3 linked regions of the Callithrix jacchus genome follow. The protein of the gene in region 1 purifies or fractionates together with the protein of each later gene. This does not show direct contact. Links are inferred from orthologs where the notes say so. Each region holds a gene or a part of one and is shown in the gene's direction. Other genes may lie near its edges. The genes, in order: POLR3K, PDRG1 and POLR3B.

What was found.
Region 2: the proteins of POLR3K (region 1) and PDRG1 purify together in Homo sapiens (affinity purification with mass spectrometry; 3 studies listed by BioGRID and IntAct, with this or other methods). This does not show direct contact. The link is inferred for Callithrix jacchus from reciprocal best matches to the Homo sapiens genes POLR3K and PDRG1.
Region 3: the proteins of POLR3K (region 1) and POLR3B purify together in Homo sapiens (affinity purification with mass spectrometry; 6 studies listed by BioGRID and IntAct, with this or other methods). This does not show direct contact. The link is inferred for Callithrix jacchus from reciprocal best matches to the Homo sapiens genes POLR3K and POLR3B.

The regions. Positions count from the first base shown.
Region 1 is NC_133513.1:2,334,456-2,338,761, reverse strand, and holds the start of POLR3K (DNA-directed RNA polymerase III subunit RPC10), read left to right. Parts: upstream 1-1,489; 5' UTR 1,490-1,585; coding exon 1,586-1,696; intron 1,697-4,286; coding exon 4,287-4,306. Other genes in the region: SNRNP25 (U11/U12 small nuclear ribonucleoprotein 25 kDa protein), read right to left, coding at 1,123-1,164. UniProt on the Homo sapiens protein: Core component of RNA polymerase III (Pol III) which synthesizes small non-coding RNAs using the four ribonucleoside triphosphates as substrates. Can mediate Pol I proofreading of the nascent RNA transcript.
Region 2 is NC_133506.1:7,247,598-7,251,716, forward strand, and holds the start of PDRG1 (p53 and DNA damage-regulated protein 1), read left to right. Parts: upstream 1-1,234; 5' UTR 1,235-1,329; coding exon 1,330-1,416; intron 1,417-2,916; coding exon 2,917-2,992; intron 2,993-4,119. UniProt on the Homo sapiens protein: May play a role in chaperone-mediated protein folding.
Region 3 is NC_133510.1:109,232,641-109,236,228, forward strand, and holds part of POLR3B (DNA-directed RNA polymerase III subunit RPC2), read left to right. Parts: intron 1-2,427; coding exon 2,428-2,484; intron 2,485-2,563; coding exon 2,564-2,628; intron 2,629-3,588. UniProt on the Homo sapiens protein: Catalytic core component of RNA polymerase III (Pol III), a DNA-dependent RNA polymerase which synthesizes small non-coding RNAs using the four ribonucleoside triphosphates as substrates.

The DNA.
Region 1 (4,306 bases):
TTCCACTCACATCTTAATTTAATGTCCAAAGTGGACAGAGTCTCTTGGGGAACAAGAGAATACACTCATATGAGGATCCACCCCAGGGGGTGGGTAGGGGCCTGACTGTCAGTTCACCCTGAGTATCTCTGATCATCAGCACCCAGGCCAGGGCCTGGGACTGGGACTGGGGTAAAGCAGGTGTGGGAAATTTACCAGGGTAGCAAAAAACGGTATTAACTATAAATATTTTAACACAACATTTAAGAAGCACAAGGCCAATTAAAAAATCCATGAGCAAAATATCAAACATTTAGAATTGGCCGGGCGCGGTGGCTCATGCCTGTCACCTCAGCACTTTGGGAGGCCGAGGTGGGCAGAGCACGAGACTGAAACCATTCTGGGCAGCATGTTAGATCGTGCTACTGCACTCCAGCCTGGCTCTGTCTCAAAAAAAAAAACCCACTCAAACAAAGTATCGTGCCAAAGCATGTTGGTGCTTGAGGCAAATGGAACAATCAGTGCTACGAATCTTGCTCTTGTTTAAAACTAGATTTTTTTCTTTACTGTAGGCTTTTTTTTTTTTTTCATCAACTTTTACTTTTAAAACTATTACAGACTGGGCGGGTGGCTCACACCTATAATCCCAGCACTTTGGGAGGCAGAGGCAGGAGGATCGCCAGAGCCCAGGAGTTCGATACCAGCCTGGGCAACATAGTGAGACCCCCCCCTCTCTACAAAAAATTTAAAAATTAGCTGGGCGTGGTGTCCCGCACCTGTGGTCCCAATTACTCGGGAGGCTGAGGTGGGAGGATGGCTTGAGCTCAGGAGGTCCAGGCTACAGTAAGCCGAGATCGCGCCACTGCACTCCAGCTTGGGTGACAGAGCATGACCCTGTCCCCCAGACCCCCTCTAAATACAATTACATTAAAAGGTCATTTATTGTCACTCACTAGTGAGGTTTCTGGTGCCTCTTTAAATTTCGCGCCCCAGGCGAGTGCGCCCTACCCAGGTTAAGACCCTCGTTTACACCCAGAGGCGCCTTCTCCCATCAGCACCTTCAGAGGCTGCACGTACCCGAACGCCCCGGCTCCCGGCCCCCGGGGGAACGACCCCAGCCCCCCAGCCTCCGCCCGCACACACCTGGATCGGCAGATCGCAGAGCAGCGGGTCCTGCACCACCATGGCCAGACCCTCCTGGAACACGTCCACGGCCTCGGAGTGAGGCAGCGTCTCCTCTTCGTCCTCATCGTCCTCTTGCGCCTCGGGCCGACTCGCGGCCTCGACCTGCTCCAGGACTGCGCGTCTCAGTAGGGCCCCGCCCGCACTGCCAAGCCGCACTACGGAGGCCAAGTACGCAGGCGCAGGAACGGGGGCCCGCCCCAGCGAGGCCGCCCAGCCATTGGTGCATCGAGGGGAGGGGCAGTTGCAGTGACCAATGACAAGTACGAGATAGCCTGCTGGGCGCGCAGAATCGCCCTGTCTATTGGTTGGCTGGGCGGGGCGGGGCGGCTGCCGGCACCGACGTGAGCTCGAGGCGGGCGGTGTGTCGGCGCTGAGGGACGGCGGGAGCTGCTGGGAGCCGGGCCCTGTGGAGTCGGAGACGATGCTGCTGTTCTGCCCCGGCTGCGGGAACGGGCTGATCGTGGAGGAGGGACAGCGCTGCCACCGCTTCGCCTGCAATACGTGCCCCTACGTGCACAACATCACCCGCAAGGTGGGACTCGAAGGCGGGCGTCTCTCGCAGGACTTCCGCTTCCTCCGACTGCAGCGCCTTCGCCGCCAGCCCCGGCGTGTCTGTGCCTCTGCCCTTTCCTTCTCTCGTTTTTTTTTTTTTTTTTTTTTTTTTTTTAAAGTGAGACATCCTCTCGCTCTGTTGCCCAGGCTGGAATGCAATGGCGCGGTCTCGGCTCACCGCAACCTCCTCCTCCAAGGTTCAAGCGATTCTCCTGCTTCAGCCTGCCGAGTAGCTGGGATTACAGGCGCCCGCAACCACGCCCGGCTAATTTTTTTTTTTTTTTTTTTTTTTTTTTTTTTTTTTGAGACGGAGTTTCGCTCTTGTTACCCAGGCTGGAGTGCAGTGGCGTGACCTCGGCTCACCGCAACCTCTGCCTCCTGGGTTCAGGCAATTCTCCTGCCTCAGCTTCCTGAGTAGCTGGGATTACAGGCACGCGCCACCATGCCCAGCTAATTTTTTGTATTTTTAGTAGAGACGGGGTTTCACCATGTTGACCAGGATGGTCTCGATCTCTTGACCTCGTGATCCACACGCCTCGGACTCCCAAAGTGCTGGGATTACAGGCTTGAGCCACCGCGCCCGGCCTGGCTAATTTTTTTTTTTTTTTTTTTTTTTTGTATTTTTAGTAGAGACGGGGTTTCACCGTGTTGGCCAGGCTGATCTCAAACTCCTGACCTCGTGATCCGCCCGCCTCTACCTCCTAAGGTGTTGGGATTACGGGAGTCAGCCATTGCGCCCGGCTGTCCGCTCTTTCTCGCGCCCCCTTCCAGTCGGCAGCGGATCCCGTGGGCTCTGCTTTCCTGTACACCCGGCTAGGCCGCCGTTTCCCGCCTCCCTGGGTTCCTGCTCTCACGCTTGCGCCCCTTACTGCGTTCGCAGCAGCGGCCACGGCGATTCCGTAAGGGCCGAGTCACACAGGTCCGTGTTGTGCGCAGAAACTTTCGACCTTTCCCAGCTCACGCAGGGGAAAAGCCGGAGTCCTCCAGGACCTACCAGGTTCCGACACTGAGCCGCTGCCCGGCGCTCCTCCTGTTGCCCTTTGCCCCATCAACACCAGCCTCCTGGAGGACTGGCACTTAAGGTTGCTTGGTTCACTCTTCCCCTAGAGCCGGCTTACTCACTGGTCTGGTCTTGTCTTCAACGTTGACTGTATTTTAAGTTGCAGCCCTTCCTTCTCAGTTATCCTCCTTCCCTTTTTTTTTTTTTTTTTTTTTTTTTTGAGACGGAGTTTCGCTCTTGTTACCCAGGCTGGAGTGCAATGGCGCGATCTCGGCTCACCGCAACCTCCGCCTCCTGGGTTCAGGCAATTCTCCTGCCTCAGCCTCCTGAGTAGCTGGGATTACAGGCACGCGCCACCGTGCCCAGCTAATTTTTTTGTATTTTTAATAGAGACGGGGTTTCACCGTGTTGACCAGGATGGTCTCGATCTCTTGACCTCGTGATCCACCCGCCTCGGCCTCCCAAAGTGCTGGGATTACAGGCGTGAGCCACCGCGCCCGGCCCCTCCTTCCCTTTTTAATTGTTTCCATAGGGCTTATTACCTCCTAATATATTATGTAATGTATTGTGTGCTTTGTTTATTAATAGTAGGACCTAAGGTCTAGGCGGGCAGGGTTTTTCTCTGTTCCTTTCCATGTTCTATTCTGAACAACTAAAAGGAAACCTATGACATAGTAGCTGTTCAGTAAGCAGATGATGCACTGTATTATAACTTATTACTTTTCCTTAATAATACAGATTTGCTTTTTAGAATACCTTTACTTTTGTTTTTTTTTTTTTTTTTTTTGAGACACCGTTTTGCTCTTGTTGCCCAGGCTGGAGTACAGTGGCGTGATCTCGGCTCACTGCAACTTCCATCTCCGTGGTTCAAGTGATTCTCCTGCCTCAGCTTTCCAAGTAGCTGGGAGTACAGGCGTGCGCCACCACCGGCTATTTTTTGTATTTTTAATAAAGACAGGGTTTCACCATGTTGGCCAGGATGATCTTGAACTCCCAGCCTCAGGCGATCTTGCCTTGGCATCCCAAAGTGCTGGGATTACAGCTGTGAACTGTCTTTTTTTCTTTTTTTGAGATGGAGTCTTGCTCTGTTGTCCAGGCTGGAGAGCAGTGGTGTGATCTTGGCTCACTGCAACCTCCATCTCCCAGGTTCAAGCATTTCTTACGTCTCAGCTTCCCGAGTAGCTCAGCTACTTCATCCTCCTGAGGCATCTGCCACCACGCCCTGCTAAATTCTGCACTTTTAGTAGAGATGGGGTTTCACCATGCTGGCCAGGCTGATCTTGAACTCCTGACGTCAGGCGATCTGCTTGCCTTGGCATCCCAAATTCTAGGATTATAGGTGTGAGCCACCATGCCCGGCCAGAATACCTTTACTTTTCAGAAGTTAGAACGTCGTGGTGTGACCTCAGTCTTAATGTTTGCATACTACTCCGTTTTGTACTGTGTTGTGGGAGTGTAGAGTCTGAAACTGTGGGAAGAGTGAATTCTTATGCAGTCCTGAAATTTGAGGTTTGGAGGCCCAAGTTTGCACCATTTGGCTACTTTGAGTCTGAAGGCTTGTTTTTGTCAGGTAACGAATCGGAAGTACCC
Region 2 (4,119 bases), on another chromosome or scaffold:
AAGTAAGGCAAGGGGTGTGAAGGGGCTTGGTTACAAGCGGTTGAAAGGAGAGAATAAAAAGCTGGAATCGGGGAGGCAAGAGATCAGAGTGCTAATATCAGTCCTGCTCTTCAGACTTGTCATCGTCCTTTCCCAGCGCCTTTTACAGCCCTCCTTCCCCTCTGACCTTCTGCCTGCTTCCCCCACCCATTCTGTTCCACACACACTGGATGTTCCCTCTGCCTGGAACACTCTTCTCCTAGACATCCACATGGCTCACTCCTCACCTTCTTTTCAAAGTTCTTGCCTCTCTCTGAGGCTTCTTTTTTCCAGCTATGCAATGAGGAGTTTGGGCGTGAAGACCTCGTGGGAACCCTCTGGTTCTGATGGTAACCATTTTCCATCTGCCTGCCTCCTCTGGGAAGGCCTCCCAATCCTACGACCCAAACCCATTTGCTTTTATGAGCTAGCATTTCATTGCTTACTGCCCATAGTTTTCAAGAGCGCAGTGGTGCCATCATAGCTCACTGCAGCCTCCACTCCCCAGGCTCAGGTGCTCCTCCCACCTCAGCTTCCTGAATAGCTGGGACCAACAGGCATGCCCCACCGAGCCCAGCTAATATATATATATATTTTTTAGTATAAACGGTATTTTACCGTGTTACCCAAGCTGGTCTCTGACTCCTGGGCTCAAGGGAACCCTGCCTTGGCCTTCCAAAGTGCTGGGATTACAGGTGTGAGCCACTGCGCCCAGCCAATTCCTGCTTCCTTCCTATCCTGTGAAGAGACACTGAAGGGGATTTTCATTCACCCTCTTTTTATAAGTTAGAAACTGAAAGTGTCAGAGATGAAACATTAATCACACTGCCACATGGGCCTTCTTGGTGTTTCTTAGACAGGGGAAGAATGATATTTCCCAGGCCATAATCACGACGTGCCATTCTATATAACTGTTTTGCCATTAATTGTCGGTGTTTACCACTAGGATGAAGTTCCATGAGGGCAGAGATTTTGTGGTGTTCACTGCTGCATCCCAAGTCCCTAAAACTGCTTGGCTCATAGTAAGTGCTCAAGAAATATGAACCGAGGGAGGAAGGGGTCAGTGGCTGCCCGCGGACTGAGCTCTCTGAGCCTGCAGAGGGCGCTCCAGCCCCGCCCCCTAAAGCTAGACCCCGCCTCTCACGGCCGCTGACGCACGTGCGTTAGAGCCTGCGCGCCACAGTTCTTTTAAATGCGCAGGCGCTCCGGAAGTCCCGTGAGAGCGGCGCATGTACAGCGGAAGCCGCAGTGGCTACCCAGTGGAGTGAGAGAAGGGTCGCGCGAGAGTCGTAGGTGGAGTTGGTGGGCGCTATGCTGTCACCCGAGGCTGAGCGAGTACTGCGGTACTTGGTAGAGGTGGAGGAGCTCGCTGAAGAGGTGCTGGCGGACAAGCGGCAGGTGAGAGGCCCGTCTGCGGCGCTGGGGCCAGGAGGCTAGCGCCGTCGGAAAGCGCACGGGGTTGCGGGGAGTTGACCCGGACGGGCGGTTAACTGTCCCGAGGCAAGAGATGTGGGCCGATAAATATTCGGCCGCTACTAAGTGAGCGCCTGCGCAGTGCTGGGTATTCCTCTTCCTTCATCCTTTCTCTGCCTCTTACCGTGCTCTCCGGATCTCGACCATCACTCTCTGGGCCGTTTCTCTGAGCACCTCTTTCAAAATGCACTTCCCGGCCCCCTGAGGCCCTTAGGGGAAAGGAGGAGCCGAAAAGAGGCCTGGGGGAGCCTTGTGACCGGCCAGGGATGGGGACGTCGGTTAAGGTGGTGCCCTGTTTATGGGGTGCCTTGTGGGGGGTCAGGCTCTAATGTAAGTGCCAAGTTTTTGAAGGGAGTTCCTGGAGGAAGGAGGGTGACGTAATTGGATTTACGTTTTAAATGGATCCCTCTGGTTGCCGTGTGGAATACACAATATAGGCGCACAAGGGTGGGGGCAGGGAGATGGGTGAAGGGTCATTGCTATGGTCCAGACCAGAGTTGGATTTGGACTAGGTAGTGGTGGTGGAGAGAAGTGAATGGGTCAGAAATGTATTTTGGAGACAGACTCAGTAGGCCGTGATAGTGGCTGTGTAAAGGGGTTAGGGAGCCGGGGGAGTCATGACTCCCTCTCATCTCCAGTTAGAAAGCTCAGGTATTTACTGAGAAGGGGAAAACTTGGGCAAGGGCCTGTCAAATTAAATGCTGGATCCGGGCGTGCTGGATGAGACTAATGAGAGCAGTTAACGATTATCAGCTACTTAGTATGTGCCAGGTACTGTATTAAGTCACTTAATTGCTAGCTCATTAACCTGTGAGGTAGGTACTGTTCGTAGCTCCATTTTGCCAAGGAGTAAATAGGAAGATGACATTACACAGCTTGAAGCAGACAGCAGGATTCGAACCTGGGTATTCCAGCTCCAGAACCAGCACTCTCGTGCAGCATACTGTACTACTGCCTCACTTCCTTAGTAACTATTGTGGTGTTACCACTGTCTCAGTGCCCCCACTTCTGCTGTTCCCATCTAGTATTGTTGGGTTTCTCATAGTACTAGGTCAGAACCAGCTGGAGAAGTTTGTCCAAAAATAGACATCAGGTCTGCTTAATCAGTGTGTAGGGGAAGGGTTTCCACTCCCCTGGTGATTCTCATATGCCCTGAAGTTTGAGGCAATAGTACAGAGTTTCCCATTTAGTCAGCACATGGTTTCCTAGCATCTTCTCTGGGGAGAAGGCAACTGCACAAAGCATTGTCTTTAAGGACCAGGAAGCCAAGTGAGAGAAGAAATACATTCACGCATCAATCCATTTTAGGCAGGACATTGGAAATAACTCAGGAATAATGCATTGTCTCTGCAGCCCTTGTCTGTCAAGAGGGGACAGCTTGGGGCAAGAGATAACAGAGTTCCCTCCTGTCTCCGTGGTTTTCAGATCGTGGACCTGGACACTAAAAGGAATCAGAATCGAGAGGGGCTAAGGGCCCTGCAGAAGGATCTCAACCCCTCTGGTAAGTTGAAATTTTCTCAGTGCAGCCCTGGAGGCCTGTTCTGTTTTCCTTTAAGGCCTTTACCTTGTCTGTGATAGAGATCAGGCAGGAGGCCACAGCTGTGTAACAGCCTTGTGGGAAATTGAAACAGTCTGTGAAGATTGGGGAGCAAATGTTGCAGTTCTGGCACAGACTGTGGTTCAGGATTTCGGCTGCTCAGTGACAGGTCATTGGCTCCTGGCTCTTGGACAATGGCAGACGCTGAGGGTATAAAAAAGTGATGGTTCCTGCCCTTGTGCTTTACAGATGAGGAGAACAATGTAAAATGCATTATTGAAAATTGTATGAAAGCCAAAGATGGAATTGGACTTGGGGTGGGTATTGAGAATATACATCCAGAAGAATCGGATATTTAGATGAGGCCAAGTGGCTACGACAGAGGAAGCAAATGGGGAGGGTAAGTATGGCTGGAGAGAGAGACAGAGGCCAGGCCACAATGAAAGGCCTTAGGGGCTGAGGGGGGAAGTTTACATTTTGTTGAAAGTGCACTGGAATATGCAGAGCCTTCCAGTTGCTTCTCATCTCATCTGAGTAAAATCCAGAGGTTCTACAAGACTTGAGTAATCCAGCCCCCATGAGTCCATGAGGATTCCAGTATCATTTCTACTCTCCCCTTCATTTATGACTTCACCCACATGGGTCTCTTTGGTTTCTTTTAATTTTTATTTATTTATTTTTAATTTTGATGACAGAGTCTTGCTCTCTCACCCAGGCTGGAGTGTAGTGGCATGACCCTGGCTCACTGCAACCTTTGTTTCCCGGGTTCAAGTGATTCTCCTGCCTCAGCCTCCTGAGTAGCTGGGATTACAGGCGTGTGCCACCACACCCAGCTAGTTTTTGTATTTTTAATAGATACAGGGTTTTGCCATGTTGGCCAGGCCAGTCTTGAACGCCTGTCCTCAAGTGATCACCTGCCTTGGCCTCCCAAAGTGCTGGATTACAGGCGTGAGCCACTGTTCCCCCCTTGCTGTTTCGAACACCCTAAGTACACTACTGATCTTTGCTGTTCGTGTTTCCTTTGTTTGGCTCACTCTTTCCCCATATGTCTGCAGGGCTCACATTCTCACTTTCCTTGGGTCTGTGTAGAT
Region 3 (3,588 bases), on another chromosome or scaffold:
AAGTTTTTGTCACCAACGTTTTTTGATTTTGTATAGCTGTGTTGCTAGTTTTGGTATTATAAGGTAAAATCCCTGACTGAAAGGTGCAGGTTTGCGGAGTGGTAGTCTAATTTTAGAGAGAAGTAGTAAAACATGCATAGCAGCATGACAGATGATTAAAAGCCAAAGTACTATTGGCAAAAGAGTGATGGTCAGAGAGGCCCACCCAAATGAAGTGAGACATAAATCACATCTTAAGAGAAGATGGTTTAAGCTGAAAGCTGAGTGCAGAGAGCATGTCTCAATCAAGGTGTTCAAGAGGAGTCTCCACAGGGTCTGCAGGAAATAGCGACCAGTCAGGGGAGCTGCTGAATATGAAGTGATGTGGTGTCGGGCTTCAGTTCAGTTTCCAAGAGCTTACGCTAAGAAGTAGTGAGTACCACAGTGAGAGACCACTTGGCACCCTCTAGGATAACTATAATCTGAATCAAATGTTAATGAGGATGTGGAGGAACGGGAACCATCATGCTCCACTGATGGGAAGGTAAAGTGTTATAGCCACTTTGGAAACAGGCTGGCAGTTTCTCAAATGGTTAAACAAAAAGTTACCGTATCCTCCAGCAATTCCATTCCTAGATATCTGCCCAAGAGAAAAACATGTGTCCATGCAGAAACCTGTACACAAATGCTCATAGCAGCATTATTCATAAAATGGACATCAGCTGCTGGATGGATACACAAAATGGGATGTATCTGTACAATGGAGTATTATTTGGCAATAAAAAGAAATCAAGTACCTTACATGCTGCAACATGGATGAATCTTGAAACCATTGTGCTAAATGAAAGAATGGAGACTTGAAATATGAGGCCAGGCGCAGTGGCTCACGCCTGTAATACCAGCACTTTGGGAGGCCGAGGTGGATGGATCACGAGGTCAGGAGATTGAGACCAACCTGGCTAACATAGTGAAACCCCATCCCTACTAAAATACAAAAAAATTAGCTGGGCATGGTGACGGGTGCCTGTAATCCCAGCTACTTGGGAAGCTGAGGCAGGAGAATCGCTTGAACCCGGAAGGCGGAAGTTGCAGTGAGCGAAGATTGTGCCACTGCACTCCAGCCTGGGCAATAGCACGAGAGTGCGAGACTCCATCTCAAAAAAAAAAAATGAGTAGAGTTTGTCCAGTTCAGTTGGGTGCTGTGGATAGAGGGGAGAGTGCTGGGAAATGAGGCTGGGAAAGTTGTCAGGGCCAGATTTCTTGTCAGATTTGAAAGCCATGCTAAGGATTTGGCTTTTCTTCTAAAAGCCATACAAAGCTATTGAGTTTTTAAGTAGGGGAGTGATCAAGAATCAAATAAAATGGTAGTAAGATCAAGAAATATTATTTTCTTTACCCCTAGAAGACTGAGTCTTGCTACATTGCTCAGGCTGGATTTCAACCCTTGGGTTTGAGTGATCCTCCTGCCTCTGCCTCCTGAGTAGCTGTGACCGTAGGAATATGACACCTTGCCTGGCCTTTTTATTTTTTAAAAGGAGCTGTACATAAATGGAGAAGAAGGTGCTAGGCCCAGTGGCTCACGCTTGTAATCCCAGCACTTGGGGAGGCCAAGGCAGGCAATAATTTGAGGTTGGGAATTTGAGACTGACTAGCCTGGCCAATATGGTGAAACCCCGTTTCTACTAAAAATACAAAAATTAGCTGGACATGGCGGCAGGCACCTGTAATCCCAGCCATTCAGAAGGCTGAGGCACGTGAACTGCTTGATCCTGGGAGGCTGACGTTGTAGTGAGCTGAGATTGCGCCACTGTACTCCAGCCTGGGCAATAGAGGGAGACTCTGTCTCTATTTTTTTGTTGTTGTTAAAACCTAAGATACAAATACACACATTAGCCCAGGCCAGAATCATCAGTATCACTGTCCTCCATCTCCATGCCTTGTCCCACTGGAGGGTCTTCATGGACAATAATACATGGAGCGATCATCTTCTATGATAGCAGTGGCTGCTTCTGCAATACTACCTGAAGGACCTGCTGGAGGCGCTTCTTGAGGAAAGGGTCACTCTTTTCACAGATATACTCTATGAAATCAAATCAAGTCGTAAGTCATTAGGTGATAGGAATTTTTCAGCTCCATTATAATCTTATGGGACTGCTGTCATATATGTGGTTCATAGTAGAACGAAATGTTGTTATGTGGCACATGGCCATATATTCGTGTACTCATATTTTGATTTCCAAGAGTCAGATTTCTTCTCAAGGAGGAAAACTCTTGAGAATATACTAGTAAGATGATGTGGAAACGGAATTAGAACACATTAATGAAAAGATTTATTAAATTCGTGGATTTTTTCCTCACTTTTTGAGAAAAATTTGATGTTCACCCATGATTAGATTCCATTACATGATCTATTATTTTGTTGCTAACCTATCTTTACTTTCTGTTTAGGTGAAAGGCCTTGTGAAACAGCATATAGATTCATTTAACTATTTTATTAATGTAGAGGTAAGCATCAGACATTAGACATAAACTAAGGATTAATTGGAAGCGGGAGTCTTTCCTAATGTTGCATTTTCCACTGCAGATAAAGAAGATAATGAAAGCCAATGAAAAGGTTACAAGTGACGCTGACCCTATGTGGTACTTAAAGTAAGGAACCAACTATTCTTAATTTGCTATTTGGGTTATGTCTAACATTTTTAAAAGTGAGTGAAGTGGCTATCAAAATTCTTTAAAAATCATTGTCTTGGTCGTGCGTAGTGGCTCACGCCTACAATCCTAGCACTTTGGGAGGCCAAGGTGGGCAGATCACCTGGGGTCGGGAGTTCAAGAGCAGCTTGGCCAACATGGTGAAAACCTGTTTCTACTAAAAATTTAAAAATTCCCCAGTCATGGTGATGCACATCTGTAATCCCAGCTACTCGGGAGGCTAAGACAGGACAATCGCTTGAGCCCAGGAGGCGGAGGTTGCAGTCCCTGGAGGCGGAGGTTGCAGTGAGCTGAGATTGTGCCTCTACACTCCAGCCTGGACGACAGAGTGAGACTCCAGCTCAAAAAAATAAAATAAAATAAAATAAGATAAAATAAAATCATTGTCTCCTATTATAAAGTGCTCAAATTACATTTTTAATTGTCAAATTATAACGAGTTATGAATGGGAAGTTTTTGAAACTATTAAGTTTTAAATATTTAAATTTTTATTTTGAAATAATTTTAAGCTTAAAAGAAAAATTGCAAAAATAGTACAAGGAGTTCTTCAGTATCCTTTGCCAAGCTTTCACTGATATTAACATCTTACATAATCATAGCACAATAATAAAACCAGGAAGTTAGCACTGATACGATGTTGTCTACTAATCTGTAGATCTCATTTGATGTTTTCTCACAAATAATCTTTTTCTGGTGTAGGAATCAATCCAGAGCTCCATGTTATGTTTAGTTGTCTTGTATCCTTAGTCTCCTCAATTTTTGAAGTCCCCCAGTCTTTCTTGGTCTTTCATGACTTTGATACTTTTGAACAATCTACTCAATATTTGTAGAAGTTCCTTGAATTTGAGTTTGTATGACATTTGATCATTATTAGATTGGGTTGTACATTTTTGGCAAGAA